Linked DNA regions of Drosophila melanogaster. The protein of the gene in region 3 interacts with the protein of the main gene of each other region in a pairwise test. Each region holds a gene or a part of one and is shown on either strand. Other genes may lie near its edges. The genes, in order: CG1309, wat, CG30080 and CG17600.

What was found.
Region 1: the proteins of CG30080 (region 3) and CG1309 interact in a two-hybrid assay, tested with the Drosophila melanogaster proteins (one large-scale study listed by BioGRID).
Region 2: the proteins of CG30080 (region 3) and wat interact in a two-hybrid assay, tested with the Drosophila melanogaster proteins (one large-scale study listed by BioGRID).
Region 4: the proteins of CG30080 (region 3) and CG17600 interact in a two-hybrid assay, tested with the Drosophila melanogaster proteins (one large-scale study listed by BioGRID).

Annotation. Positions count from the first base shown.
Region 1 is NT_037436.4:4,254,844-4,262,228, forward strand, and holds CG1309 (uncharacterized protein), read left to right. Parts: upstream 1-4,586; 5' UTR 4,587-4,699; coding exon 4,700-4,825; intron 4,826-4,900; coding exon 4,901-5,214; intron 5,215-5,265; coding exon 5,266-5,417; intron 5,418-5,524; coding exon 5,525-6,128; intron 6,129-6,194; coding exon 6,195-6,462; exon of another isoform or gene 6,463-6,518; coding exon 6,519-6,629; 3' UTR 6,630-6,800; downstream 6,801-7,385. Other genes in the region: CG1265 (uncharacterized protein), read left to right, coding at 1-125, 193-452, 767-887, 957-1,087; CG15011 (uncharacterized protein), read right to left, coding at 1,231-1,656, 1,717-2,172, 2,233-2,413, 2,469-2,677, 2,741-2,872, 2,929-3,045, 3,103-3,219, 3,273-3,431 and 2 more; CG11586 (uncharacterized protein), read right to left, coding at 6,880-7,361.
Region 2 is NT_033777.3:29,016,016-29,023,468, forward strand, and holds the start of wat (waterproof), read right to left. Parts: upstream 4,392-7,453; 5' UTR 4,008-4,391; intron 1-4,007. UniProt on the Drosophila melanogaster protein: Catalyzes the reduction of saturated fatty acyl-CoA to fatty alcohols. The preferred substrates are C24:0 and C26:0. Necessary for the final stages of tracheal maturation, to facilitate the transition from water-filled to gas-filled tubes.
Region 3 is NT_033778.4:15,697,237-15,705,142, reverse strand, and holds CG30080 (uncharacterized protein), read left to right. Parts: upstream 1-3,446; 5' UTR 3,447-3,467; coding exon 3,468-3,514; intron 3,515-3,570; coding exon 3,571-3,764; intron 3,765-3,819; coding exon 3,820-3,929; 3' UTR 3,930-5,279; coding exon of another isoform or gene 5,280-5,455; intron 5,456-5,524; coding exon of another isoform or gene 5,525-5,555; 3' UTR 5,556-5,989; coding exon of another isoform or gene 5,990-6,127; 3' UTR 6,128-6,417; downstream 6,418-7,906. Other genes in the region: CG46433 (uncharacterized protein), read left to right, coding at 5,280-5,455, 5,525-5,555; CG42662 (uncharacterized protein), read left to right, coding at 5,990-6,127; CG33462 (uncharacterized protein), read right to left, coding at 7,229-7,701, 7,764-7,906.
Region 4 is NC_004354.4:22,512,695-22,520,126, forward strand, and holds the start of CG17600 (uncharacterized protein), read left to right. Parts: upstream 1-2,502; 5' UTR 2,503-2,594; exon of another isoform or gene 2,595-2,675; 5' UTR 2,676-2,899; intron 2,900-7,432.

The DNA.
Region 1 (7,385 bases), on a different chromosome or scaffold from region 3:
CGAATACCTGGAGCGCGGCCCAGTGCTCGTGGTGGCGGACCTCCTTAGCCTGATAACGGTCTCGTCCTGCCTGGTGATCAAGGTTCCGCAGATAAACACGATACGGGCGAACGAGTCCTCGAAAGGTGAGCACCGCCCACACAACATCTGCAACCTATCCTCCCACTCATATGATACGGATTTATGAATTAGGCATCAGTGTTTTGGGACTGTGCCTGGAGCTGTTCAGTTATACGGTGATGTTGTCGTACAACTACACCAGTGGCTACGACTTCCTCTCGTACATGGAGTATCCTGTTTTGCTGCTGCAGGAGTACGCCCTGATTTACTACGCCTTCAAGTACCAGGATCTGCTGGGAAGGAGGACGCAAGTGGTGGCCATACTGTATAGTATAGTGGCCACTCTCATATACATGAAGCTCTTTCCCATTATCATCCTTAAGTTCCTGGTGGTGAGTAAGCCTGTATTGATATCACCTAGTGACTGATTAGTCGGGTATTCTTGCCCAGATAACGACTTCGGCGCAGTTCAAACCCGTTCCCCGCTCTCTTTTCCAATTAACTAATTATGTTTCCGGGCAAACGGGTTTGGTTTGATTTGTTATTTGTTTTAGTTTGAAAAGGCGGTGCTCTTAACTGGGCAGCATCTTCGCTCAAGGTCACCGATGTTTGTTGTATAATATTTGAGCGGCTATTAATACTTTCAGTGCTCGGGCAATATATATAAATCTCGTGAAATTCATCTAAATGTTTGATTTCCCGTCAGCCTTTCTGCACTCCCATTGGAGCCACGAGTAAGGTCCTCCAGCTGCTGGCTATTCTGAGGACCAAGGATGCCAGTTCCGTCAGTAGAACCACATGGGCGCTCTCCGCCTTTACAAACATGAGTGAGATCACATCTTGCATTCCATCACTTGATGTCATCAATTAACACATCATATATGTATCCCTTACAGCTCGAATCTACACGGTGTTCTTCCAGTCCCACGATTGGATGTTGCTATCAAACTTCCTGATTTCGACGTTCCTTAGCGCCTCCGTTTTCACCGCCGCTTGCGTCTACAAGAAGAAGGCCAAGGCGGAGTAATTGGCCAGCCTGATTAGAAAAGCTCAACATAGACAAACACTGCGCTGGCTGGAAATGCTTATCAGTCATTGTTTTAATTCTATTTGCTTATCTGTTTAAATTGATATTACAAATTCTTGTTTGAATCGGTTGTTGTTACTCGTTTAACTGTCCGCGTAGAAAGCCACCACAATTGCACCCACAACTGTTAGAATGGATACTGCATAGATTGCTCTACGTTGCCAATCGATCTTGGTCTTGGCCGGTCCAGAACCCACAGTTTTGCGCTCCTTGTGCTTGCGTTTGCCGAACTTGGCCTCGAACTTCTCGAGTTCCAGGCGGTTTCTTTCTTCCTCGTCGCGACGCTTTTGTTCCAGCTGCAGTTGCTCTGCCGCCTGGACGCGAATTTGCTCCGCCTTGCAGTTCGAGTCGCAATCCAAGAATGTCTGACCAGCACGGTGTTTGTCACAGGCAATCTCCTGCTTGAGTCGCTTGCAGGCGCAGAAAATGCGAACCTTCTTGCGGCACAACTCGGGATTTGGGCACTTGCCTGTGTGGCAGATGGCTGTGCAGCGATGTCCGCAAGGATACTGAAAAAATATATATATCACTGTAAGGCTTGATCGACAATGGTATATTACAGCACTTACATTCTTCAAGCATCGATTACCGCAGCTCCGTAGCTTTTCTCTTCGCTCGATGATCTCCTGGACCGATCCCGTTTCATCATAATACTCGTTGCACTTGTAAACCAACTGGTTGAGTCCACAGTGACACTTGGTCTTAATCACAAAGTTGCAGGGCGCACAGGGCGGTGGATGACATCCTTTGGGACAGGCGTGAATACATCCGGTTGGTCGGGGAACGGTGCAACCCTCCTCGCAGTTGGCACAGCCAGTTTGCGCAGACATATCCTGGGGAAGCGGTACGAAATGGCAAACCAATGAACACTTGTGATTGCCGCACTTAAGCTGACGTGCACACGATCGCTGACAGGAAGTGGGTTTGGAGTTCCAGCATGGCCAAGTGGCAACCTCATGACCTCCGATACAGGTGACAATGACGCCTTCCTCGCACCGTGGATGTGGTAATGCCTTATACTCATACTGTAAAACAAATTGTAGAGTTTTAATGTTGAGATAGGTGAGTTTTGTGATTATAGTTACCTTTTTGGCCTGTGGCCTAGCCTCTTTGGGTTTATTAACTCTAACTGCCTCGTGGCATCGTGCCTTACAGATGTGCCCACACTTGCTGGTGTCATTGGGTAGACCGCACACTTGGCCACATGGAGGACAGTCACCCTTGTGACAACGATGCTTAATGGCATGGTGACATTTGGGAGTTATGCTGCAAGAAGTGAGATTAAAAGTCGGTCATTATATATTGCGAAAGAAATACGAACCGACAGAGTTCCAAGCAGACAATGCGTGCACTTCTTTCCCTGCCACAAGGAACACTTTTTTTGGTCTTTCCACAGCGGCAGTTAATCTGGGATTCCAGTTTACACGGATAGCAAGGTCCGTTGTGGCACACGGACTGACATTTGTGCTTGTTGCAGCTCAGCTGCTTGCCACAAATCTTTTCGCACGGTGGACACTGGTCCCCACAGCACTTTAAAAAAGGTTATTGGTTAATTCGGCTGTATACATTTAAAATGCTTGCGTGCTCTTATACCTTTCTATTGCATGCATGCTTGCCGCAATCACGCATTTGCTTGCATTTAGTCTCGCATGCAAACTCTTTGGAGCAGGGCAACTCCTTTTCGTGCAGACCACAACGACACTTCTTTTTGGTTCTTATTGGGCACTGTAAGAAACATATTTCATTAGAGAATCGATTTGCTTCCCTGGTGGCTATCTTACGGAAATGCAAGGTCCACGATGACAACGCTGGGTGCAAGTGTGCTGGCCACAGGACAAAAGTTTTTGGCACGTATCGCCACAGGTTTCCTCTGTCTCATTACAGGGTCTTACCTGGGTCTACAGAATTAGGTAATCATAAATGAATATAAACTTGTAAATAAATATATCACATACATTCTTGCCGCATGGGCAACTCCTGACTTGCAAAGGACACTCTCCATCTCCGCAGGGTCCAGCGTGACACACCTTCTCGCAAATGTGCAAACCACAAGCAAATGGAGCTCCACAAACCTGAAAGAATATTAATGTTGTTTTATGCTTCAGCTTCAAAAGGCTTTTCTTACATTCTGACACTTCCATTTCCGATCGGAGCAGTTGACCATCTTCGACTCCCGCTGGCACTCGCAAGGTTGTAAGCTTTTGCTGGTGCATGGAGGACACTTTCCTGGCTGATGACACACCTGATTACATTTGTGCTTGCCGCAGGCTAGAAGTTCCTTGCACTGGAAAATCATTTTTTTAGTATGGTGGTCAGACAAAATTTCTTAAAACGTTAAGACTTACAGTCTGCTGACACGTCCACTGCTTGTCAATGCACCTCACGGACCTAGGACTAGATTTACCACACAGGCACGAGACCTGCGCCTGCTGCGCACAAGGAGGACATGGCCCCGGATGACATAGCAGCTTGCAATCGTGCCCACACTTCGGTTGCAAAAGCTTTCCGCAGTGCTCTCCGCATGAGTGGGGCACAAGGAAGGGCTGGTTCTCGGGGTTCACCTCCTTGCCGCAGAAGCAGTTGTACTGCGTGGGCTTATCGGCCGGTTGGTAGTCCCTGCGGCACTTGGGGCAGCACCAGTGAAGGGATTTCTGTCGCTTGGGCGGCACAAATTCGCCCAGATGATTGTAGTGGCCCTGGCCGTTCTGCTGCTCTGCCGCCTTTACCTTCATCTGCATCATGCTGTCGTTGGCCCACCGTTGGATGCACTTCAAGTGAAAGAAGCAGTAACAGCTCTCGCAAGACCAAATGGCCTCCACCCGCCGAATGCTTCCGATGCAAATGAGACAGGTTGCCGCTCCCGAGTGTAGAGTGTTTTCCAGAAACGTACTGGTGCGTGCCGCTTCCTTTGAGCTTCCTGCGTTGTCCGACGGTTTGTAGTTCTTGTATAGGAGTTCTGAAAAGATAAAGCACAAAATTTGATGGTTTTCAAATGACACGTCACAAGCATCGGTCGATTTACCCAAAATGTGATTCTCATCCAGTTCGCCTTCATCCTCGGAGCTGGAGGCGTAGGTGTCCACCAGTTTTTGGGCGGCAGCCAAATTTTTAGCTTGCGCTTTATTAAACTTTTCCATTTTTAAGCCGGCGTTTTTGTCTATCAACTGGGAATAAATTCCTGGGGTAGAACCAGGGATGGCTCGTTCTCTGATAACAGCAATTAGGGGATCTAGTTCCGAAAGGTACACATTTGTGTGAGCTTTCAGTTTCCAATTGGGAATTTCATTTAATTCAAAAAAAATACATACATACACATTAATACCTAAATTATCAAACATCCTCTCTGCATATTTTATTGCATTTAATAATTTGGACCAACATTTTGAAGTTTACAATTAATAGGTCAGGTATCTAATGTGGCAGCCCTGGTATTCGATGTTAAACATCTGTTCGTGAGTGCGACACCCTGGAACAGCTTTCACATCATTTGCAACAAAATAAAATAGAGAAAATTAAATATATCCAGACATACCGACTACGATCCGATCCAAGATGAGTTTCCTAAATTACGTGTTTGGCCCCAACCTCTACATGGAATACCGCGGTGTGCCGGAGCCGCAGCGCAAGATGTACGAGGCAGGTGCCGTGGAAAAGTTCGGGGAGCAGATTCTATCGACGGTAAGTGCCCTGCGATCCCATGGGGCAGAATCTGGAGCATATGGTAATGTGGAAAATCGACACTCTCCGTTGCAGCTATCGGTTATGTGGTCCGTGGGCTATTATACTTCTCCGCTGCTCGTCACATTCCTATACCGACGCGGCTACCTGGTGACCGATTCCATACCGACGCTGGCCAAGATCACCACCAGCGTGGGCCTCATCGTCATCCTATCGCTGGTGATGCGCGGCCTGGGGCGCAAGCAATCGCGCTCCTACTCCAACATGATTAAGGCCCTCGTCCGAGCAAAGTCCTCCAAGGCACCAGGAGATGCCAACAGCGAGCTGCGTCGCTTCGACATCGAGTTCAACGCTTGGCCGGTGGACTTTGATGTGAAAGCTCTAACCGGGTGAGTGGGCTACGCCTTTGAAGTGTGCCAGAATAACATCTTCGTTTTCAGTGATACCAAAAAGCCGGTGGTTACGGCTAGAAGGCGGGAGCCCATCCAGCTGGCGACACTGCCCTGTGAGGCCATCGCCTACCTGGCCATAAACACCTTTGGGCTCTCCATGATCTATCCGGGTTCGGTCAAACTACTCCAGAAACTTATGAGTAAGAAAGATATACATATGTGAAGCTGTCTGAAATGTTGTTAAATTGCAATCCGATAAGCCCATAAGATAGACTTCTACATATACTGAACCTAAAATATTTTGCAGGACCCATGCTGATCTCCGGACGCGCCAAGCTCATCGAGGATGACAACGGCATCCGCTACAAGGTTAAGACCATTGACTCGAACGAAATCGATACGTTGTTCATTGACAATCGCCCAAACAACGTGGGAAATGGCAAGACTCTAGTCATTTGCTCCGAGGGCAATGCCGGTTTTTATGAAGTGGGCATTATGGCCACCCCAGTGGCCTTAAAGTATTCCGTTTTGGGCTGGAATCATCCCGGATTTGCCGGCAGCACAGGCACTCCTCATCCCCACCAGGACAAGAACGCCATCGATGCCGTGGTGCAGTTTGCCATCAACAATCTTAGGTTCCCCGTAGAGGATATAATTTTGTATGGCTGGAGCATTGGTGGCTTTAGTACACTATACGCTGCCTCTGTGTATCCGGATGTCAAGGGAGTGGTACTAGACGCCACCTTCGACGATGTGCTCTACTTGGCCGTTCCTCGCATGCCAGCTGCACTGGCGGGCATTGTCAAGGTAGCCATTCGAAACTACTGTAATTTGAACAATGCCGAACTGGCCAACGAGTTCAATGGACCCATATCCTTTATTCGCCGCACTGAGGATGAGATCATTGCAGAGTGAGTGATAACTTTTGCATTTGGGCAGAGGTCTTTCCTAAAACGTAACCCATTGATTTCCATTAGGGACAACCACATTGACACAAACCGCGGAAATTTCTTGGTCTTGTCAGTGCTCAAGCACCGGTATCCCAACATTTTTGGGGCTTCCCAGTTGAATAAGGCCAAGGGGCTGCTGTCTAAGCCCCTGGAACCATACAGTATCCCCGTCGCCGACGAGAAGCTGTGCATGTCGCGCCTGATCACCTACGCCTCTGACGAGGGCAAGTCATTCCCCATGAACATTGGAGCAGATTACTCGGAGGAGGTGCGCAATCTGATGGCTGTGTTCTTGGTGGGTTTATTCGGCAGTTTAAATGGTCTATATATCTAATACTGTTCACCTTTCAGCTGCGCAAGCATTTACGTGACTATAACTCGACGCACTGCACCCAGCTGCCCGGGGAGTTCTTTACCATGCCGTGGGACATACCCACTGAGCAGGGATTTGTGTTCACCTAAGCTCATTCCGCAGGTGATCCACGGCCGTATGCTTAGATTTAGTAAAATGGTTTTTAGTAATTTTTGCCTTCTGACTGCTTATTAAATTATTCTAACTGGGAACAGCCGGGTAGCTGGTGTCTTCTGAACTGGTGTGAAATTATATACAAAATAAATGTCACAAGCTAAACTAGACGCGTCGTCTTGTGGTTAGTTTCTATTTCATGGTACAGCTAAAATTGGAGGGGAGGGGCAGTTCAACACTTAGTTCCTACGAGTTCTTCTTTGATCCACCGAAGCCGGAGAAGCCCATGATGGCGGCCATGTCGTCGGGCATGCCGCCGGACTCGAAGTCCGTGTCCTCGGCCTTGCGCTTCCGCTCTTTTCGCTTCTCCTTGCGGTGTTCCTTGTAGCGATCCTCCTCCTCCTTGGCCTCCCGCAGGCGGCGCTCGAGCTCGTAGTCTTTCTGCTTCTCCTCCATCTTCTTCTTGTTCTGCTGGAAGCGCTCCTTTACCTGGTCGACGGTGCTCCGCTCCACCTTCATGGACATGCCCAGATTGCGCTGGTGCTTCTTGCCATTGATGTGGTCCAGAAAGTTGATGGAATCCTTGACCACGCAGTCGCAAACGTTGCAGTAATAGCCACCGGATTGCGAGGTGGGTGTGTTCTTGTTGATGACAACGCTCTTGCCCAGCTTGCTGTCCAGGTCCACCTTATAGTCGCGTCGCTTGAGGTTCTCCCGCTGTACGGGTTCTGGTGAAAAACAAAAAGACTTTT
Region 2 (7,453 bases), on a different chromosome or scaffold from region 3:
ACAAACAAACAACAAAAATTGGCAACTTTACGTGCAGAGTTTCGGGCCACGTTCATGTTCAATGCCGCTGGCCTGCAGCCGAATTGTGTTGACCTTTTCGCGTAGTGCTGGCCAGTGGGCAGGTGGAAAAGCAGCAGAGATTCTGAGAGAACCAGAAAGCCTTGCCCAAACCCAGTCCGAACCCAGTCTCAACCCAAACCCAAGCTCAGGCTCAAGGCGGTCAGGTGCATTTATCGCAATTAAACACTTGTTGCTGCCAAAGCAAAGCAAAAGCACTAAGCAAAAAGGCAAAAGCAAAGCTGCCACCGCAAAAACAACGCCACATCTAACAAGAAGCGAGGCAAGATTAATACGTGTATTACGGCCGGGCCACGATTTCCACAACGATTCAACAACGATTCAACAAACGATTCCACAACGAGCTAATAGCAAATGTATTGTATATACGAGTATAGCTGTAGTAGATAGCTGCAGCTATATGGCAATTGCGATTTGCTTAGAATGCGACAACCGCCGGGCCCCAAATAAAAGCCCAAGTGCTGACCTTGTCAGTGGCTACTATGCTACCAATATTACCAATACAACTGCTTTGGTACGACCACCAATGTTGCTTTGGAAATCGATTGCACTGCTGAATCTCGAGTGGTTTTCCTTGTGTTTGATTTTTCAATTTTTGCAGCACAAAGCGTGAGCACAAACACACACACACACACACACAGGCCAAGGAGCGATTTTGATAGAAGAGAGGCGATTTTTTTTACGCCCGAAAGCGATTGGATTTATTTTGAATTTTATCAATATCAATGCTGGCATGGGAAGTTTCAGCAACAATATAATTTATATGCTTCTCCGCCCAGATGCTGCATTAAAATATATAAATAATTGCAATGTTTGGGTTAACCTCTTATCAATGGTTCATCTATAGTTAAAGAACACATTCCGTTTAAATCAACTGGCTGTCACTCAGAGTGGGCTATTCAGACCGCAGGAATTTTACAATTATATATTACAGCGCTCGTTAAATAATTAATAAGTGTAATATGAAACATATCAGAGCAGCTACATATGTACTGTGCCAAATATAATTACACTAATTAAATGAGCATGCAGAATTTAATATGGCCGTGTTCAAATGAACAGCTACAAGTGTAACACTTTTATCTACAAATATATAGAATATCTGCATGGAAATTCGATCTTTGTTGTAATTTAAAACCGTACGTTTTATACGAGTATGGTAAATGCAAACTCACCCGATAATAGTTGAAATTGACAAAATTTATGTTCAAAACATACCTTTATTTAGGAACGTTGCCACTTGGCAGCTTGAAAAATGTGCAGATACCGGAGGCACAGATGCAGATACAATGCAAACATTACTCAGCCGCATTGCTCGGCTACTAAACAATTTAAATGAAGATGTTCCCAATTGGATTCATGGTCAGGCGGCCGATGAGTTATTTATGCATACTTAAACACGCCTGGAAAATGCAAGGCGAAGAGCGCCTTCGGATATCTTGGCCATTTGGACACTTGGCCGTTTGGCTGTTTGGCTGCTAATTCGCAGCAGAAGCAATATTCGCACATTTATCGATTGCAAATCAATTTCGTGCAATTGCACATCTCACGTAATGTCGGCCCCTCTTGGCCAGGTCGAAACGCAGTGGCTCTGGCTCTGGATTTGGCTTTGGACTTCGATTTGGATTCGGAATCGGCTTGGGCTTGGGCTTTAACTGGCTGCAATGCATCGCTGCCGGATTACCCCTCGATTAATGCTGCTTGCATACAAATTGGCGCATTTACGTTCGCCTTCACCTGCTATATGGGAATCTCGGGGGGTCTTCCCTATCCACAAGATACAGATACAGATACAGATACAGATACAGATACAGATAGAGGTGCAGATACAGATATAGATACAGACACGCGCCTGCACTCGTTAGCCAGAAGCCTGAAGCCTGAGGCGTTTGCCTTCCTTTTGGCATTCGGCAGGCAGTTGGCCAAATTGCATAAACAAAATCGCGCAGCGAAATGAAAAGTGCGCCAAGTGCGAAATATAAATTACACCGCGAGCATTCGCATGCAAATTCCGATTCGGATTTCAATTCGAAAACATTGTCGCACGTTGAAAGTGGTAAGTGGCAAGTGGCAAGTGTCTTTCGGTGCAATCCTAATCAGCATGACTGGCCCAGTGCCAGTCACACTGCAAATCCCATCGCATCCCATCCCAGTTATCCCATTCCATTCCCTGGGTGCTGGATAGAAATGGCAACGAGGCGAGGTGACAACATAAGCAGACTTTTCGCGGGATTTGTCAAATATTTGCGCAACGCTGCGCTTATCCATCCAAAAAAAAGAAAAGCACTAAATCTCTGGAAAGGGAGATCCAAAACTGCAGCACCGAGTCCCAAAAACCCAGGAACCCAAAAAAAAACCCCCTACCCCGCTTGCCCACTTTTTTGTGTGCGCTTTCACGCCTCTTGGAAGGCGGGCAAACTTTTATTATTATTTCATTTTTTTTATGTTCGCCGCGCCTCGCAAGTTCAAAAAGTTTAATGCTATTTGACTTTGATTCAATGTTTGCATTGTGCCCGGGCACATCATCGATTATTTTCCACTTGACGCCCCACCACGTCAGCCCACTGAACATGGAACATGGAACACCAGAGCCACCAGAGCCATCCGCCCACGGATCCCGAAGCGAACTCCCAACGAATCCCCATCCGCATCCGAACTGGAATACCAGTTGTTTGTGGTGGACAAATGAAATATGTTTGGCCGCATCAAAAAGCCCTGGCACTGAAAATTGATAAATTGCGAATTAATTGAATCGCTATGACATGAAGTTTAGCACTATTTTCTCGTCTCGCCTCAATTAAAGAGTTGGCTGGGTTTTTCCTGCACAGATACTTAGATACTTTAATTGCATCCTTGAGGCCCATTTAATTGTGGCACACAAATCGATTTTTTAAACTCTGTTTCATTTCAGCACGATATGATGATATTCTCATGCATATTTCATTGAATGCATTTCATTGCCATTTAAATTTGGCCAACGAAAGTATTTGTTGTATAAAGGGCTTGGGGGCGTCCACTCTTTAAATTCTTTATGAACTTTAATTTCCAAATTACATCGCTTAATTGAGTTCGGATTTTAAATGGCTTGTAAAGCTGAGGCAAATTGCACATTTCTGCGCAGCTGAAATATGATTTACGTAATATAATAATATTTAATGCAACACATTTTTATTGCGACATTTCACTGAAATGCGTATCTTCTAAATATTTAAAATCCTCTTCTGGCCTTTTAGTCTCTTTTACAAAAGGTATGTATATTTTTGTATATTTTTGAGCATCAAGTAATTTCTTTTATAGCCAGCACAGAACAATTAGTCACGGATTTGTAAAACCAAATGTCACAGATAATATTATTTATTCTGCCAAATTAGTGAGCTGCTAAGTGGGAATTTAAATATTGATCGAACTGCTCTTGATCCAGTAATGAATGTTTTTCCCAATCTAATCAATTATTTTTTGGGTTTGGCCATATATAAAATACGAATGAATGCAAACTTGTTTGAAATACACAAAGACCACGGGAGTAATATAATAATCCAACTGGCGATTATCGATTCTTTGGCAGCCGTAACTCTTTTGCCATTGCAATGGCAAAACAATGAGTTATTTCCCAATTGCCGAGTGGGTTTGTTTGTGTATTAAATTTGGGAAATTCAATGAAATTTCACACATTTTTTCGTGAATGCCTGTGTGCTGGCAATTGGCTATGAGCTCTTCGTCGGCCCCTCCTGCACCTGCGGAGCGAATCCAACCCGTTTTGGGTATTTGGGTATATGGGTATTTTTTTTAGAAAGCCATCAACGCCAGCTACATTACCACCACCACTACCTACAGTGCCTAGCATATACGTAATGGCATATGTCATACGATTACCAGGTATACGGATAGCAGAGCAGATTGTCTATAATCCCATGTAATTCAAGACTCACCGATTTGCTGGCTGCACAGGCACAGATCCCACGGCCACGGATTGGATTGGAGTGGCTTTCCGCAAATTGCTGGCTAATTGGAGGGCTCGTGGATCTGCCAAAACGAATCTTGCTCGCTGGCATACAGGGATATATCTCTTGGTTTTCTATCTTTTTCAGTTGCCACTTTCGAAATATATAAAAATTCTCTAACCAAACGCGCTTTACAACTGCAGCACGCGCTGTTGCACAAGAGTAGCGAAAAGAGCGATGCCAAATTGGTTGCAACAGGTGGAAAAACTGGGAGCGCACCGCGATCCGAACCGAATCGGTTTTGTATATCCAGCGAATTGAGTCCCGAGTTTGAAAACTAACTTTTGAAGTCGATGCGAGCGTTACGCGTTCCAGAACCGCGCTGCCAGGCAGACGAAAACAGACTCAGCTCGATTGAGGCTCGCAAAAACCACAACACCTGACGGCGGCTTCTCAGTCCGTGGATCGGCGCCGTTCAGCGGCTCGATGGTGGTGCGCTTGGCATCTCAGCGGCTCAGCGGTTTGGTGGCTCAGCGGCTCAGCGCCTCAGCGACGGTGGCGTCGACTGCGACGGCGACTGCGGCGTTTTGTGGGCGGTAAGCCAAACTTAAAAAAAAAATCAAGTCAAATTGAGTGGCGCAGTTTGGACTGGCGATTGAAGTGTACACATGTACATAGTCGTACTAACTTGCCGCACCTGAGCATCGCTTTCGGACACTGCCAGTGTTATGATCCAATTTTATGGAGCCTCGTAAAGCCGAAGCATTTGAGATATATTTGCGGTATATGTACATCGGACTTCACTTAAGCGCTGGTCACTTGGGTTAAAATAGCGCCGGTTACTTAGCTTACAGCTTGCCATTCATCCTATTAAATGGAGCATTTTGAAGGTTCCAAAGCATCTTTAATAAACAATTAACAAAACGTGCTGGTAATCAAAGATTACGCCAGTATCTTTTACAATTGCCTTATTCAGTTGAGTTTCAAAATTGAATATTCCCATACCCAATGTATACTAGTAGTTATCATTCCAACGAAGATGACGAATACTCAAAATATTAGCAAAGATTTCGAGATGAACTGTAAATATTACTCATACGCAGCGTGTACATATATCATATATTATGAGGCTCCATATAATTGAATACATAGCGATTGAATTTTCGGATTATCATTATGATTGTTAAGAAGTGCAAAATGATTAACCGAAAATGTATTGGATTACTTTGCATTATATGTATGTTCTTTTATCTTGTATAAAAAATTCCGTTGTTAATTAAGTGATGATAGCATATGATTATCATGCTGACCCCAAGTTGTGTCTGGTAAATAAAGTGATTACTAGATGAGATCTCTGAAACCGTGCTGGCTAATTAAAGACATTCGGCGAACCTGGACCCTGTCTTTATAGTTTGATCTGTCTGACAGGGCTGAACCCACACGGACCTCCGGCTCAGCTGACTCATCCTCGAGTGCAGTGCACATCCGCTCCATCCCTATACGAATCCCAATCGAAAACCCAGCCCAATTGGTATTCCTGCTCCGTTCGCCCGGAGACGTCGTTCGACGTAGTTCGCTCATAAATTTTGCATTTGCTGTGTGATTTTCCTTTTTAGACGCGACAAGATTTCACTGATTTCGCATATATCCCAGCATTTATAATATATTCGCCTGGGCCGAGTATTCTAAGTCGAGTTCAGTACTGTTCAGCTGTTCGGCTGGTAATCGCAGTGCCGCCATCAATCACGTAGTTCCCAGCATGTTTTGTCGCCGATCCCATCTGTATCTGTATCTTGACGCAGTATCTTCTCACACCAGAGCCAAGCTCAAAGAGTCTATAAACTCGAATATCTCTCGCACAAACGCTGTACGAAAACGAAACAAAAGGCCCATTAATGACAAATGCGAAATAACGAAATTAAAATAATAATATTCGCGATCAAGACACTGCATATTAATGGTGGCCCCATCAAAAGACACTCAAGTGCACACTTTTCAGGTATGATCCGATCTTGTTCAGCTCTGTTCAAACACTTGACAATGACATGATTCGCTTTTGATGTATAATTACTTCACTTTCGAGGTACAACGGCCTGCAGATTGTTTGATGCCTTTATTTATGCTGTGTAATTGCTTTGAAATGCCTCTTTACTTATGCAGATTTCGGGGCTCCATTATATAAAAAGTTACGATTTGTAGGCGGACAGTTTGCAATGAGCAAATAGGGCAACATTTACCCAGACAACTGAGTGTTACCTTTTTGAGTCAATACCTTGAAAATCTGATTTCTCGCCGATTTTCGCACCTGGTCTTAGTAATTAGCTTAAAAAGTTATTCTTCGTTTCTGACATAGTCAGTTATTAAAGGTTCAACTATCTACCTGTTTATTTTCAAGGGCATTGAAATACGTTCGAGCCAAATTAAAATACTTTTTAAGCTGATCATTCTACGATTATTGTTTTTATAAACTATTTAGTTATATGGTGGTTTTTTTTTATGTTCCACACAGACCGTTTATGGACCGTCAAATTAGCTTGCATTACCAGGCTCAATCGTATGGCCAAAATCATATGGACTAACCAAACAGTCGAGCTGAAAAGCGAAGTGCAATAAACGCAACCGAAATTTAAGAACCCAATAAAATGGAGCACTAAAAAAGCGAAAGTTGACCTTGGTGCTCTTGAGCGACAAGAATCCGGGCCGAAATCGCGGATCCATCCAAACGGTTGCACCCCCAAAAACTGGCCAGCTTCGTCATCGCGATAATAGCCAAGGCAAATTGCCAAGTCATTTGGGTTTTTTACCTCTCGATATTCTAACAAATCGACTAGCAAATAGCGCCGTTCAAAGACAAACAGAAAAAGAAAACAGCGGCCATAACAAATCAAACTCAAAGTCCAGAAGCTGCAAATCTAAAAAGGTAATTGCCAGGGCTAATTCGGCATTTGGAGTGTGTGGAAAATTCGTCGCGTCACCGCATAATTATTCGAGGAGTCTCGATGACGAGATGATGGCCAGTAGTGTCTGGTAATTTGCCGTTTCAGCCGTGATTTACTATTGACTCTGGTGTCGGGCTGCTTGATTTATTTTATGGCCAGACGGAACGCAGCGTACGCCTCCAATATGTTCTTAACACACAAAGAAACCTATGCTTTCAATACCCTTCACAACTTGAAGAAGCCAAGGAATGATATATACTATAAAGATCTTGGAATTGGTCGCTTACTCTCTAATTGCAAAGTCAAGCAAATGCCTGAATTTAGTGGTGAGCAATCTAATTTGGGAACACTTCTGGGAACACTTCTCGACGGAATTCCCGGAGTGAAAATATGGTTTGTGACAATGTGCAACTTCGCCATTCAATGCAAAAATAAAATGCCCCATCGAGGGTATAAAAGTATCAGTCACGGTAGAATGCAGAATTACCAACACAT
Region 3 (7,906 bases):
ATCTTCTTGTGTCTGGGCTTTAACTTCTAGCAAACAAAGGACACTCTTAATGGAAGCTTAATCCGTAGTCATGTGATGTGGAGTATACGAGTTTCGTATTTAAAGTATTAAAGCCCAAGCAATCCATTGATGTCTGAATGCATCTTTCTAAACTCAAAGTTAATGCTAAAACGGAAAAGTTTGGATATAATCATAGGTATGTGAGTGTACTTAAAGTATAGTCAAAGGTTTTGAGCATAAATTAAATCAAATCGTGGACACATAATTGCACCCATGTTGCATACGTCCTTTAACTCTCTTCAAGCACTTCAAGCCACGGTGACCATATGCCAACCCATTGATCTCGCTTAATGAACACTCGACCTGAACTGACTGCACTCGAAGTGCCCTTGCCGTTGGCTCTTCTGGCAGATGCGAATGTGGATATGCGGATGTGCGGATATGCGAATATGTGTCGAGAGGGCTGAGAGCGAAAGTCACAGAGGCTGGTCCAACAATTGAGCCATTGAGTACCGATAAAGTCATTCCCGGAGCATTGGCATATATGCACTAAACTCCGGATACCAGATATATACATGCATACGTGCGGCATTAGTGGTAATCCCTAGTTTGCCAGATTGCGCTTATGCCACTCGTTTAAATTGAATTGCCACGGCGCTGCGCCAGCGACTTTTAATGCGTTCCATGCAAATAGAGGCGCTCCTTCAGCGCCAACTGCCGGGCACGGACAACAATTACGCGCATTATCCTTTCGACTGGACTCGGACACGGACACGGACACGAATCCGGATCCGGACGATAACACGGCGTTTGCTTAAACAAGCATAAATGCGAAGCGCTAAAAGGACACTAACAGCGAAACGGAAGCGAAACTGCTTAGTTCGCGAGTCGAAGGATTAATGCTCTACCAATATTTCAAATTTAAATTAAATAAATTAAGAAAATACAAGTTACGATGATCCCTTGACAGAATCTCATTATAACACAACTAGTTTTGTAACTTATAAAATATCTGAAGGAATACCACATATTTAATTAAGCTCATTTGTTTGGTACCAATTTAGTTTATAACTTTTAAAAATGTAGATATTAGTATAGTTATTTCAAATTAGCTTCTTATTTATGTAGCCCAACATCGTGCAGCGCATTGGTGCTCTGAAATTTTAATTTGGCTAAGTAGCAGGCAGTGACAGACAGTGGCACTAGGATGCGAATACCTTGTTAGTGGGAATCATTCGGATTCGACCCATAGATACCCTGCATTCCCCAGAGAATCGCGTGCCCTTGGACTTCATTTCGTGGCCCAGAATGACCCAACCTCTCATCGCCCTGCTACCCTGCGTAGCTCGAAAAAACGCTAATTTAATTTTAACTTTGTGCATCCTTTCCTCGGACCTTCTGCAGGACCTTCTCCGCTGCTTGTCCGTTTATATATATGTACTCCAACCGACTTGTGTTTGATTTCGCTGTCAGCGTCTTTGGCACACTTTTGCAGCGCATTAGAGAGCTCAACTTTGGGGGGAGTGGGGCGGAAAGTTAAAGTCAGAAACGGAGACGGTATAAGAAAAAATGAATCTCGAAACGGACGCGAAAGAGTAAAAGTAAAATATTTGTCCTGCCACGGCCATTGCAAGTGAACAGCGCTGATTGCGGCACTAAAAAGAAACGGGTTCTTGTGCGGCGATAAGATTTTCAGCATCACCATCATCCGACTGCCAACTGCCAACTGCCCTTTTCATTGCGACTCCCAACTTAATCGGTCCGAAGTTTGGCCATCGCCGTCTAATGTGCTTCGCCAAACTTTTGGGTCCGGCTCAAAGGCAGTTGGCACCTCGGACCACTTTCAGTTATTTACGCAGCGTCGCCTGAACCTGACAATCAGCAGCAATTTGCCTCAGCGCCTGGGATCCGCACTCGAGTCCCATCCACATCCACATCCGCATCCGAATTCTTATTCTTATTCAGAAAGCATCCGATAAGCATAACAGTTGTCGTCGTGCCGCCGGCTTACACCTTGAAATCGGATTTTTAGGGTGGGTTCAGTGATGAGCAAATAAGCAAAAAAAGTTAAATTAAAAAAAGAAGTACGGTTATTTATCAAAATAATTTTAAAATATTATTATCAAAAAACTTTTAAATATTATTTTGGAGTAATTTTTCTAATTAGATACATATCAGGTCATATTTTATGCCTTTCCAACCGGGAATGGTATTTTTCCATTAGCTGAATGGGTTTGAAATAAGCAAGAAAAAGGATATATTGGCACCTCTGGTGGGTTCGGTGGTTTCAGTGGGTGGCTGGGCGTCTGGCGGCGGTGCGCTGCTGCCAACAAATCGTCGCCAGATGGTGGCGACAATAAAACGTTTTACAATGTAACCAAGGCGACGACAAGGAGCAGGATCCGTGTGGCCATGTGTGGACAACAATGTGCAACAAAGTTCATAATTGTTTATGGCGACGGCTTCGATTTGATTTTTATGTCTTCAGGACTTGGGGCAGTGATTGAGTGTTGGTCTCAGGCCACAACCAAGGGGAAAAATGTTATAACCTCTAGCATTCAACTGTTGTAAAGAAACCTTAGAGTTTTTACATGCACCCGAAATTCAATTAAACAATTGTAAAGTAATATATTTAATGGTAACTCACAACTAGTCGTTTCACATACTTTCGAAACCATTTAAAACTTAAGTACGTGCATGAAATGAAACTTTAAATTCACCCTCATGCATCCATGGAATCTAAAGGTATAACATTATGGCACATAAGTTGCTTTTCGTTTTCTATTTGGCTTAATGGCATAGAAACATTAGGGATGAAATTTCAGACTATAATATTCCCCAACCTGCGGGCCCCGAAACTCCCGCCAGTCCGTTGGCTTCATTATATTGAAACTTTGACGTCGTTATTTTGCATAATTTACAGCTCGCTTGAATGCAGCAGCCAAGTATATTTCTATAACTACGCCGGTGATGGGCGGAAAATGCGGGGGGAAACTGCGCGTGTCGGTTGTCAACGCTACCTTGGCACATGCGAAACGTGAACTTCGAGACATCGAGTTAATGATTCGCACTTGTTCGCCCCCGCCACGCCTCCTTTTTCGACGTTTATGAGGCAGTAATGAAGTTGATTTATTACATTACACGACTTCTCGGGATCTTCGATTTCTTCTTCAGCTCAACGCACAGAGCATTGAACTCTGCATAGAAAATAGATACGAAAATAGACGCATTGTGACTGCAGAAGTAGCCGGCTGAACTCAAACATCTGTTCCGCTAGTTCCGCCGGATCGAACCATTTCCTAGATGGCTATAAATAGATAATGTAACGCCCTAACTCCAATCTCAGACACGCGTCTGCGATCGTCAGCCGCGACTGAGGGCTAAATTTAGAATGTGGAGAAGTAGGGCCCGCCAGCCACCCAAAAACATTAGTGTGGAGCTCCAACTTCAGTTTCCTTAGGAGCGCCATGGAGTGCAGAGCTGTTCCCATTCTACCCACCTATTCTCAAGCCTGGTTCGTAGTGCACAGTTTTGGATTAGCAAATCTACTAGTTAGTTTTTATTCAACAGTGGTACTCCTATGCCCCGGAAAACGTCCCTCTGCCGTACACTCTTTGATTATGGTCCTCTAAACGATCCGGTGATCATACTCATAACACTGGCCGTCGTAGTTGGATCCTTTTGCCTGCTCAGCGGATTCATTTTACTGTGCGTTGTCTCAAAAGCCTGGCAGGATGAGACTTCCGAGGCCATTCTCCTAATGGGTGAGTAACAGTGCTATTGAATTGATTGTTCCTATGATGAACTTTGGGTTTATAGCGATTGGCTTCTTCATCACGGCTTTGTCCTGCGTATCGTGGAAATTGACGCGAGCTCAACGAATTTCCCAGTTAGTGGATGCCCTCAGCGTAGATAACCAAACCATTTAGCTTGAAAGTATCTAACGTAAGACATATGAAAACTACGAGCTTGCAATTAGTTGCAATATACCTGATAAACTCTAAAACGTTCAACATTAGGGGCTGTCCGAAGTAAGATTGGTCTTAAGTTGTTTTTCCTATTCGCTTATGTTAAAGTACATGAATTATCTTATCAATGTCACCTATTTAATAATCTTGTTTGCTTTATAATAATATAATAATAATAATATTTAATATTAATATTAAAATATTAACCGAGACTCCCTGGTTTCGGACTAACTTAATACATAAGTGGGCTAATCAACGTGCCACCGCACGCAAAGGATAACCTCTCATTCGGTTTTGAAAGATTCAATTGCAGCAAGGCCATCCAAAGTCGAGATCCCATTTGAATCTCGCTCCCTCCAGTTATCTTCTGATCCCCGAATTCTCCGCACGAACTCTCACTGGCAATCAGCACGAATTCCTCACAGCAAATGAATTTCTTTGAAAGATTGGAATATCAGCATATGTCGCTTTGTTAAATGACCACTCACTTTAGAATTTGAAAAACAAGGGGCATTCCTCTTTATTTCCAAGTCCTTGGCGGTCAGCTGGTCCTTTGGCTTCGAAACTATTTTCGCGATGCACTAACATTCTCTGTAGTGTAAGCATTTGCCTGGCTTCTGATCGTAGGTGGTGCAGTATGTTTGATCTTGGGGAGGGAAACATTACTACAGGTCACCCCTCATCTGCTGGCACTTACAGGGCTTCTCTGTTTGGTTTCCAAAGGGAACTGCTTGTCCGGATTGTTGACCAAGTTTAAGGCATATGACCAGGAGCAGCAATTGCAAAACCGTCATTGCGCCACCAAGCTCTGATATGAACTGAATGCAGAAGACAGTCAAACTTCAGAGGAATCTCTGTGGATTATCTGATTACAGGTAGCTTGATTGCATATTGCAGTGATTAAATTTACAGAGAAACAAATAATGCTGCAGTGCAGGATAGAGAACATTAAATATTTATTTTAAATATAAAAAAGGGTGAAGAATGAATGCGTTGATACCATTTCTGTTAATATCTTTGTTTTCGGCTAACATAATTGTATCTTAAAGCTGAATTTTTACTGAATTAAGAGAAGATTTGCTCATCAGTCATATTACTAGCATAAAGAGGTTTTCGGTTAGATACACATCTAAAGAGTAAACCATATTGCGAATTGTAGGTAACAAGAATTTGATCCTCACTCCATCCTGCTCTTAAGGACATGACCTACCCCTGGGCATCTGGAGGCGCAAAGAAAATGCAGCTGCTTGCGCCCCTACCTGAGATCAAATAGTCCTTGATCCTCAGTCCGAAACGAGAACTCATCGAGAGATGCCACACTTGCAGAACATCGAGCGGGATTTTCCCCTTAACTGGACCTTGAATCCCATTCGGATCTCTAGTAGTCTCGCCGCAAATACTCTTTCCTTATATCGAAAGATCTCGCAAAACATGTGGCGCAGTTGTATTCAATTTTGCCATAGTCCCAAGTTCCAGCAATATGTTAGGTAAGTTTGGATACAATGATATTAGATATACATATAAAAAAATGTCCCTCCCTATATCGATTCTTCCAGATTCCTCGAGTCCAGTCTCTGTCAGTTTTAAAGAGCAATGATCCAAGAAAATGCGTCGTCGCCTCGTCTTCAAAACAGATTGCTTTTGATTTGCAATCTTGGCACGTTGACGATGCCAAAATTTGTTAGTTGAATTCATTATAGCGATACGCAGAGAGTCAGTCAACGATCTCGTTCCGAGAGGGGGGTTTCGCTTTGTTGTTTCAGAGTTCTGAAATACAACAATTTGTGGCATTGTAAAGTGCTCGTAACGCGATTGGGTTTGGGGCATTTCCAAGTCGGCGGCTGGGAAACTACCCTTGCCGCAGCAATTCCACCATCCAACCTTCAGTAGGGGGAAAACACCTCGCTTGGAGCTGCAATAAATTCCGGTCGCTATCAAGACGAGCGTTCAGTAACGTTTCAAAGCCAGACGCGCTAAGATTGCTAATTCCAAAGCTTCGACCAGTCGACGAGCATCAGAACATGGAGCACATTCGATTTGTTGACAAAGTCTTTAGAGCCCTGATCGCCGGCACCCTGCTGCTCCTGATGACCGCCATTTACCGGGAGGACAACAACTCCGGATCCCACTACATCCATCCAAGACACGCCATGCAGTAGCTCCATCGTGGTCTACTAAGATCGATTCAACCTAGTCCGATGCAATCGAATCTCTCGAAAGTGCGGCACAAAAACCGGTTGTGTATATTGCCGGCTCGACGACATATCGCCATATCAACTAACTGCACAAATAATGTTATGTTATATGTTAATAATGTTAATGTTAAGAAACATGTGTAATTATCTATAGCTCATCCCATCGTAACTAATCTAACTTATGTGCTATAATGTTAATACTTAGAAATTAGTTTTAGTGTGAAAATATAATATAAAATGCAATGTATATGAACACAACCATTTTGCTCAACTTGCAGATAACATGGGATCGGGAGGGCTCTGAAATATCGATTAGCAAGAGCTATTCGCACTCTTTGCAAAACAGGTTGCAATTTCATGCGATCCGAACTTGTTTATAGAAAACATTTTTAATGGGCCAATTTCAAACGACTTTAGCACGAATTTCTTTCTTTATCCGTGGCATACTCTAGAAGCTGACCTTAGCTAATATAAGCAATCACGTTTTGCTTATTGGAACAAGTGTTTTGAGCAAATTAAATTTCCGTGCAAAAGAGCTACAAGTGATATGAAGAACATTGGTACATACGACTAAGTTTTGCGGTATTTCAGTATTTTAAAATTGTTTTAATAAATAAATAAAAAATTACTAGAAAATGTATTATCAAAACTAAAAAATGTTTAATTATTTAAACATTACACAATGCATTTAAACAATTTTTCAATCTACATACATATCCTCCTAATTTTACATCACCAACGCTTAGCATGGTTTTCAACCAACAATGTAAGATCGAATCTTTTCTACATGAAATGTAACAAATATATGCGAAACTTGGCTAAAATAAAAAGTCTTGAAACTCAGATGGATTTGTTATATGTATAACAAGAAAATCATAATCAGTCAATTGAGATTAAGCCAATAATATTGTAATTTTTTTAAAAGGAAAACAAGATTTGTTGAGTTTCTTTGCTTAGAAACATAGAAATGTTAAATGCGACATAGTCTTTATTGTTCAACATTAAACTTTTTAATTTATTATATTAAACAAGGACTAGCAATGAAAGCTTACTATTGATATTATATTATTTCGGGTAGTAAAATACTGGAATTTTATCGACCCATTTCTTTAATGAACGGTTCATATCCGTCGAGGGTCCGTATTGCCGTACCACCCGTTTTATCCAGTCAGCGTAGCTCAATAGATCCATGAGAATGCCAGAGTTCTGGCACTGGCCCTTCACCCTGCTGGCGATGCCCAGTTGCACATAGCGGTCTGAGCCATTGTGCCACATTTTGCGGATCTGCGGAGCCCCGGAGTCGGTGCTGCAGAGTTGACTCAAGGTGTTGCCGGCGCAGATCTGTTCGAACGTCATATTCCAGCCATAGATTTCGGAGCACGTCTCTTTGGGTTGGCGGTCGATGTTCATGGTCCGAAGAACTTTGCTCGTTGCGTTAGCGGCAGTTTCACGCCAAACGGTGGTCGTAAACCAGGTGAGCTGGTCTATCGGCTCCTGGAAACGGTTGCTTGCGAAAATGCAAATCGGACGTATGTGATCTGCATATGTGAAATGCATCGATATTATAAAAATGTCGTACTCATATCCTAACTAGACACACTTAAGTACTCCACCCTCCTTCCGAGTCGCAGCATGCCGATGTCGTTGGTTTGGTCATTCGCATTATAATACCTATGCCTGAAGCCCATATCCACATTGTACTCCTGGAAGGGTTCCTGGCACAGGTGGTTGTCACAGTCCACC
Region 4 (7,432 bases), on a different chromosome or scaffold from region 3:
TTGAAATGGTAGAAATCTGGTGCAGCCCAATTTCCAAGAATTATTATTTTGTCTACAAATATTCATAAATTTCCTTTTACATATCAACTGCATTCTTGCACAACTCTATTCTCAGCCGTGCCGTGCCAGCCGGTTAGTTCATCGACATATTTGGACAGACAAAAAATGTACAATATGTACATATACTATAAGCTCCTTCTTAATCAGCCGATATGCGATATCGTATTCATGGATATCTTTTCTGCTTATCATGGAGTTCATTTCGCAATGTGATCAGCGATTTATGAGCACGCCGCCAAATGGAAAAGAAAACGGAAGACTAAAGACACAATCGTGTCGCAGCAGCGGCTGCAACTGCAGCAAGCAGCTGCAGGTTGCAACTTACATAAAGCAAGTGCCAGAAGTAACAAAAGTCAAAATGAAGAAAAAGCGGAGAAAAGACTACAAACAAGTGGAAAACCAGTCACGAAATTGCCGGCCAGGAGTTTTTGTGCAATTGACTAAGTATCTCTCCATTTTTCGGGCTTGAGTTTCTGTTGTCTCATGTGTTTTTATTTTACCACTTGCGTAAAGTAAATGTTATACCCGTATACTTGTAGAGTAAAATGGTATGCTAGATTCGTTGAATATATATTGTTCTATATGTATATATATTCTTGATCAGGATCAATGGCCGAGTCGATCTGGCCCTTTTCGTCTGTCCGTTCGTATGTAAGTCGAGATCTTAGCAACTATAAAAGCTTAAAGAGGTTAAGATTAGGCATACAGATTCTAGGAACATAGACGCAGCGCCAACAAACCACGCCCATTCTAACGCCCACAAGCTACCTACTTTGAAAATTGTTGTGCTATTTTTTCATATTGTTATGTCTTGTAAATTCCTATCGATTTGCCAAAAACTTTTTGCCACGCCCACTCCAACGCCCACACTTGTGAGAATGTTTTGATCGTTTATCTATTTTGCACTCCATCTCGTAGTCCTCCAAGCTGATCAACGGGTATCTGGTAGTCGAGGAACTTCTCTCGATGTTGCTACTATTCTGGGTCACTACAAATCAGCTCCTGGGCATCTTCTTTCGCTATTTCAATGATGTGACATGTTTTTGCTGTTTTCGCTTTCATATAACGCGGATTGAAAGCTCTTTTTAAAGCACTTTACTTAAGAGCAGACGCGGTGCTTGCGTTGCGCGCCAAAAAGTAATCAAAATGTTTAAGTCCAAACTCAAATGGTAGCCGCTTCTTTTTTCGGGTTATTTTATATGGCCTATAATTTCGGAATATATTTTTTGTAGCCTTTTGTTTATGGATCTGCTGCCTTTCTTGTGGGCTGCTGCCGCCGTTAAGCATTCGCATTGCATCGGTTACACGCCTTTCCAGTTTACAAAACGTACTCTCTGCCATTTTTTCTTTGCCATCCCAGAAACACGAATGCAGTTATATAACAGCAATAGGCTAAAATATCCATGAAAAGCCCGAGCCGAAAAAAGATTCTCCAGTCACGTCTTTCTCGGCAATGAACAAAACGCATTTTTTCAATCCAACCCAAGGCAACAGCATTGAAAAAACTTGCTAATGAATAATGGAGAGTAATGGGAAACTACTTTTTATTCAACTGAGATTGGTATATAAAATTTATAAAGGTGCATAATATAATTGGTAAAAATAAATAAGTTAACTATACTTATGTTATACTCAATATTCTTTATTTTATACTCAATTTTTCTTTATCACATCTCAATGTCTTAGATGTAATGAAATACGTACATACATATGTACTATATTCACAATGATGAAATAAACAGAACTATATACGTATGTAGATTTCTTGGCGGGCTAACTATGTATTTTCCCCACGTTCTCGTTATTTCTTTAATCATTTTCTTCCCCGATTTTCCACCTGATTTTTCGCCCTGAAATCACTCTCAATTTTGTTCGCCTGTCGCAGCATTCCGGCGTGACGTCAGCAAATTGTTCCTTTTGTCTGCAGCTGCAGGTGAAGAGCAGATTGAAATTGAAATTGATTATAATTTAACGGCGGTCACCAGGTTGAATATGCTGGCAGAAAGTTCAATATTCGAAAGTTCGTTGTTGTTGCTGCGCCTGCGCACACTCATTACCGTTTGTTGTTGATTGTCGGCACTTCTTTAAGCGCAGATTTACGCTAACAGGTTGTAAAACTGTCCGAACAGTGATGCCCCGGTGGTATTTTTTGAGTTTTCCAGCCAAATCGGGCTATGCAAGAAATTCAACTCTAATGTTACGCGGAGGTCTTCGGTGGAAGGTGCATACGGTACGTACAAATATACATACACACATATGTACATACATACATATGTACAACAAGTGTAGCTACTTCTTTTGGGGCCTCCATCACCGACATCGACTGCAACAACAGTATGGTGGCATACCAAAAGTTAAAGGCTCCGCTTTGCCAGCTTTTCGGCCAGCGACGTCGACTGAGAAATGCGGCGGTTGAAAGCGCGCGAAGCGATCAACTTGGTTTCAGTTAGAAACGAACGCGCCGCCGAGAAACTCGCAAGCGCATGCTCGCTGTCTTGCGCTCTCCTTCTGCTTTCGTCTGTCTTCGAGTAACGGTACCGTGTGTGAATCGCCAATTAACCGATCGCTTTATTGCCTACTTCGATATTTTATCGCCGCATGTATTTTTTTTGCAGTTGTGTGTTGAAGTGAAATGGAATTTGTTGAATTTTAATTGCACGCAGCACGCTGCCGGCGAAAACAACAGCAAAATTAGCGGGCTGATTTCATTCAACCTGAGATAAAGCAACAATAATAGCGCACAACACATCGCAAAGGCGCAGCAGGAGAAAATAGCTGATAAATAGACAATAATAAATAAATATTACACACAAAGGCCAGGGACGCCGCTTTAATTAGAGTAAGTTTGCACAGATAAACTAAAAATAAAAGACTGACGAATGCTTGAAAAACAGAAAACCGTTTTAAAAACATACGCAGACAACTTGGCACAGAAAGAGTCTCTAGAGCACTTGAGAAATCACACAAAATCAACTAATTGCCCAGAGTAACTTATTCAGATAAACATGTTCTCTGAAATCTACAGATGGTTTAAGTGGAAGATGTCTAATTTGTGTTAACAATAACAACAGTTGTTTGAAATGCTAATCTTCGTCAAAGTTATTTTGACAAATTGCGTAACTTACGTAAGGGTGATAAGCAAGGCTTACGTAAGCTTTCAGTTCTGCAGTTCTACAGTAATTCTAGGAATTTAAATGTTGCCTTTGAATACATATCTGCTAAGCGCAACCTTTTCTACATTTTCGAGATGTTTTCGCATTCTAATGGCTCTAAAACGAATAGCTGACCAGCGTACATTAAGTGCTTCGAAGTCTCGAGGCAAAGTCATTAAAAGAAAGACCTAACAAGCTTCCGTCCTAAGGTTGTCAAATTGTTGCCCCTGTACCCAGCAATCCAGCAAAAACGCCTCATAAATACTTTATATTCCGCGGAATAAATCCTCTTAGCAATTGTTTCATTCGGGCTGACCAGCAAGCAAAAAAAAAATAATAAAAATAAAATTAATATGTATAAAAGAGCGAAGGCAGTTGACAAGACTTTATCAAGGAAACTGCACTCGTTTTAAAAAATTTGTCGTGGATTGCAGCCCAAATTCGATGGGAACTGAATTTGTACTTGAGTCTCAATCAAAAGTTAGTCTGTATTGTTTTTATTTTATTTCAAATCAATGATGAGTCGGAAATATAAATTTTAAAAATAATTTTTTTTATTTTTTTTTTTTATATAAAATATAAATTTTTTTATGGGGGCAATAACGTAATTTCTTTCCAAAAATTATACCTGTTACTCGTAGAGTAAGACGGTATACTATTGTAGATTTGTTGAAAAGTATGTAACAGGTACGTAACAGGTATGTAACAGGTAGAATGAAGCGTTTCCGACCATATAAATTATATATATTCTTGATCAGGATCAATAGCCGAGTCGATTTGGCTTTGTCCGTCTTTCCGTATGAACGTCGAAATCGCAGGAACTACAGGATGCGGCAGCATAATTACCTTTTTTACGAACTCAATGAAAACTTTTGTAGGCATCGAAAGATATTTGTTTATTTTTATAATGTAGGTACATGTCTAAAGTTTTTATTTATTTATTTTTTTTTAAATGAAATCTGATAGGTGACATTCCCCATTCTCCATATATTGCGTAAACCGATTTCTGGCGTTTTGTCGTGACTCTTGTTTGTTAGCATAGCAGGTGTTAAGTTGTCAATTTCTTCTTGGATGTTGGTTTTTAAATCTTGTAGGGTTCTTGGACGGTTCACATAAACACGGGATTTCAAGAAACCCCATAGAAAAAAATCACAAGGGTACAGATCGGCTTCATCACTAAAATATAAACAATAGCATCCTCGGGAATGACATCAAGAAGAATCGTTCATCCGAGAATTGAAGTCACGTTCTGAAAGTTCCTGCACTATCGCCATCTTATACGGATAAAATTGAAGATCATCATGAACAATTCTTCTCACAGAACGCCGTGGCGATCCCAATGTTCTCAGGTGATCTAACGGGTCGAGGGACTCCAGTTCTGCGTCTCGTCGCACTTGCACTTTGCCTGAATGTAGTGACCCATGTGACAATTGATTTGCGGTCTGGGACGTTAGCCAACGGGGCTAAATTAAAGCTATTCCGAAATGCACGCTGTGTTTTAATAACCGAACATCCACTTGAAAAGTAGACCTCAACGGCAAAGGCACGCTCCTCACTATTCCAACGCATATCTGCCGATATATCCCAGAAAAATTATGAAATTTTGCATTCGCATTTCCACTAGCTGATTGATGAGAATTTCAATAATTGCATTATCAATCGACTGTAATGCCAGTGATCGTATCGTATCTTCGAACCCGATTGAGCAGCGGTAGGTTTCGATAAAGGGTCTTGAAACTCGCATTTGCAAATACGTTACACGCTGCATAATGGCTTGATACATTTATGGACACTCATATGGAGTTGTACTCTTAGTTTCATAATCATAGTCGGGACGGTTACACTCACCACTCCACTCCATTCTCCGCCCTCAGCACGCGTACTTATGCGATAATTGCAGGAAATGCAGCGCACACCACACACCAAATGTTGCATGCAGCGAAAGTTTTTCCTTGAAATGCGCATATTATAAATAATAATAAATGCGAAACGAAACGAAAAAATTGCAAAGAGACCAAAAAAGCCGCGCTGCCCACTGGCTAATTGAAAGTGAAAGGGGGAACCAGACGCACAGTGCACAGGCAGAAAATGTGTAGAGCGTCTTATATGTATGTCAACTACTGATTATTGAACTGGGACATCCTAACTTTTTATTTAGCAAAAACAAAAAGATATTATGAGTTCGTGCTCTGAAATTATTATAGAGTTATCGTTATTAGAGTTATTACTATAATATGATATACAATATATTGTTGTACTTTTCATAAAGCTAAATAGCAGTTCAAAATTTTTGCACTATTTCTTTGAAACCTCCAACCTTGGAAAATCGACAGTTCCATCTAATGATATGCCCGGCCCACCACTTCATTTCCTCGCGATCGGGCAAGTGTTTGGTTTCGTTTCGATTCATTTTGATTGCCGCCGCGATATGTATGTCTGGTGTTTTGTGGCCCCTTTTTTGAATTTCATAAGCTCGGCCATAAATTGGCCTGTTATCCAGTTAACCAGTTGGCCTGTTGGCCATCCGCTATTAGCCGCGTGCGTTGCACTCGTTTTCGAGTGTTCGTGGCAAGTGCGTAAGTCACTTTGCAGCCAGCAGCCACTTTCCGCAGACACGCCGCTTGATCTCTTTCCGTTCGTGCAATTATTTTCGTATGAAGTCATTTCAAATGTTAATTCCAGCGGCGGCAAACGGCGACGACCTTGCCGCCTTAATTGTCCGCAGATTGGGGAGCGGAGACCGTAGATCATGGGGGCTGTGTCCCCGGGGGGATCGGGTTGTGAGACTGTGAATGCGAATTCGATTGCGTGCAACGTTTGTTTTTTAAACCAGATTAGGCAGGCACGTCGCGAGCTAACCAAATGCGATATATGCAATACATTGCGCTACGCCTTGCCAAGTTGCACCCAAAGTCGGAGTCTTATATTATTTCCACATTTTTCATGAAGGTATTTATTAATTCAACTATTGAAAACCTTAAATATATAAAAGAGAACACTTCAAGAAATAATTAACATACAACATCGCCAAATCCTCAATATGGTATCAAACATCAAACCAAAATCATCCTAACAGCTACATTTTTTTAAGTGTAAAAAAATGTCGATCTCACGAAGAGACCAAATAAAAACAAGAGAGAATGCTATAGTCGAATGACTATAGAATGCTATATAGTTCCCCGACTATCAGATACCCCTTACTCGGTTAGTGTTAATGCGAATTTCATCATTTGCGAAATTTCATCATTTTTCTGGTCGGAAACGCTTCCTTCTGCCTGTTGCATACTTTAGAACGAATCTAGTATTTACGAATTGTATTAATTCAAAAATCGGCCAGTAAATCCAATTTATTTTTTAAATCGTGGAATCATGCAGGCGATTATCAACAATGGTCAATATATCTTCCAATTTAATTCCTATTCTCAATGAAACATTTTTTCAAAAAGAATTCTCGTTTATCGTCAGTGTTATTGATGAGTGTAACTTTCTCTTCGCAATTGTTTAAATTAACATGAATAAAGCCAATGCCTACGTTTATAGTAGGTAAGACTATAGTCGGTAAGACTGATCCATGCAATTAAATAGATATCTTCTTTACTTATGTAACATGACGAGCTTTCATCATTACGCAAATTGGAAATTAATTGTCCACAAAAACTTAATTAAAGCTTAAGGGCAAACATGTGTAAAAGATCCAATCAAACGACCAAAGCCCGAAATCTTAAAACAGTGAAACACCGCTGTTGTCGCTTATGATGTTATATCCAGTTTTCAGAGCGTTTAAGGAAACGCAAACCAATTATGAATACCTTAAAAAATTGTGAATTGCGCGAAGCTGATTCTAGATTAATATTCCTCTCCAATTAGAAGACAAGTTAATGATTTCGAACGGATTATTTTTTATTTAGCTTTAAATCATCTACAAAACAAATATGTACACACACTTCTTTGTCATTGGAAATGAACTCCCCTAACAAATACGCCTAAAAACATCAAACATAAAATATTAAGTATACGCAAAGCTGACATTGGCCACAATTAACAGTCAGTTACTACATTCCATCGAGAAACAAACAAAAACGAAAAGAAACGAAACATTGCAGGCTGACCACAATTTTGAAGGCTGCTCTTAACCCATTGTTGGCCAACATCCGAATCTTAATGTAAAGAAAACAAAGCCGAATAGGTTAACAATGCAAAATTGTCATTTGGCCAGCGAT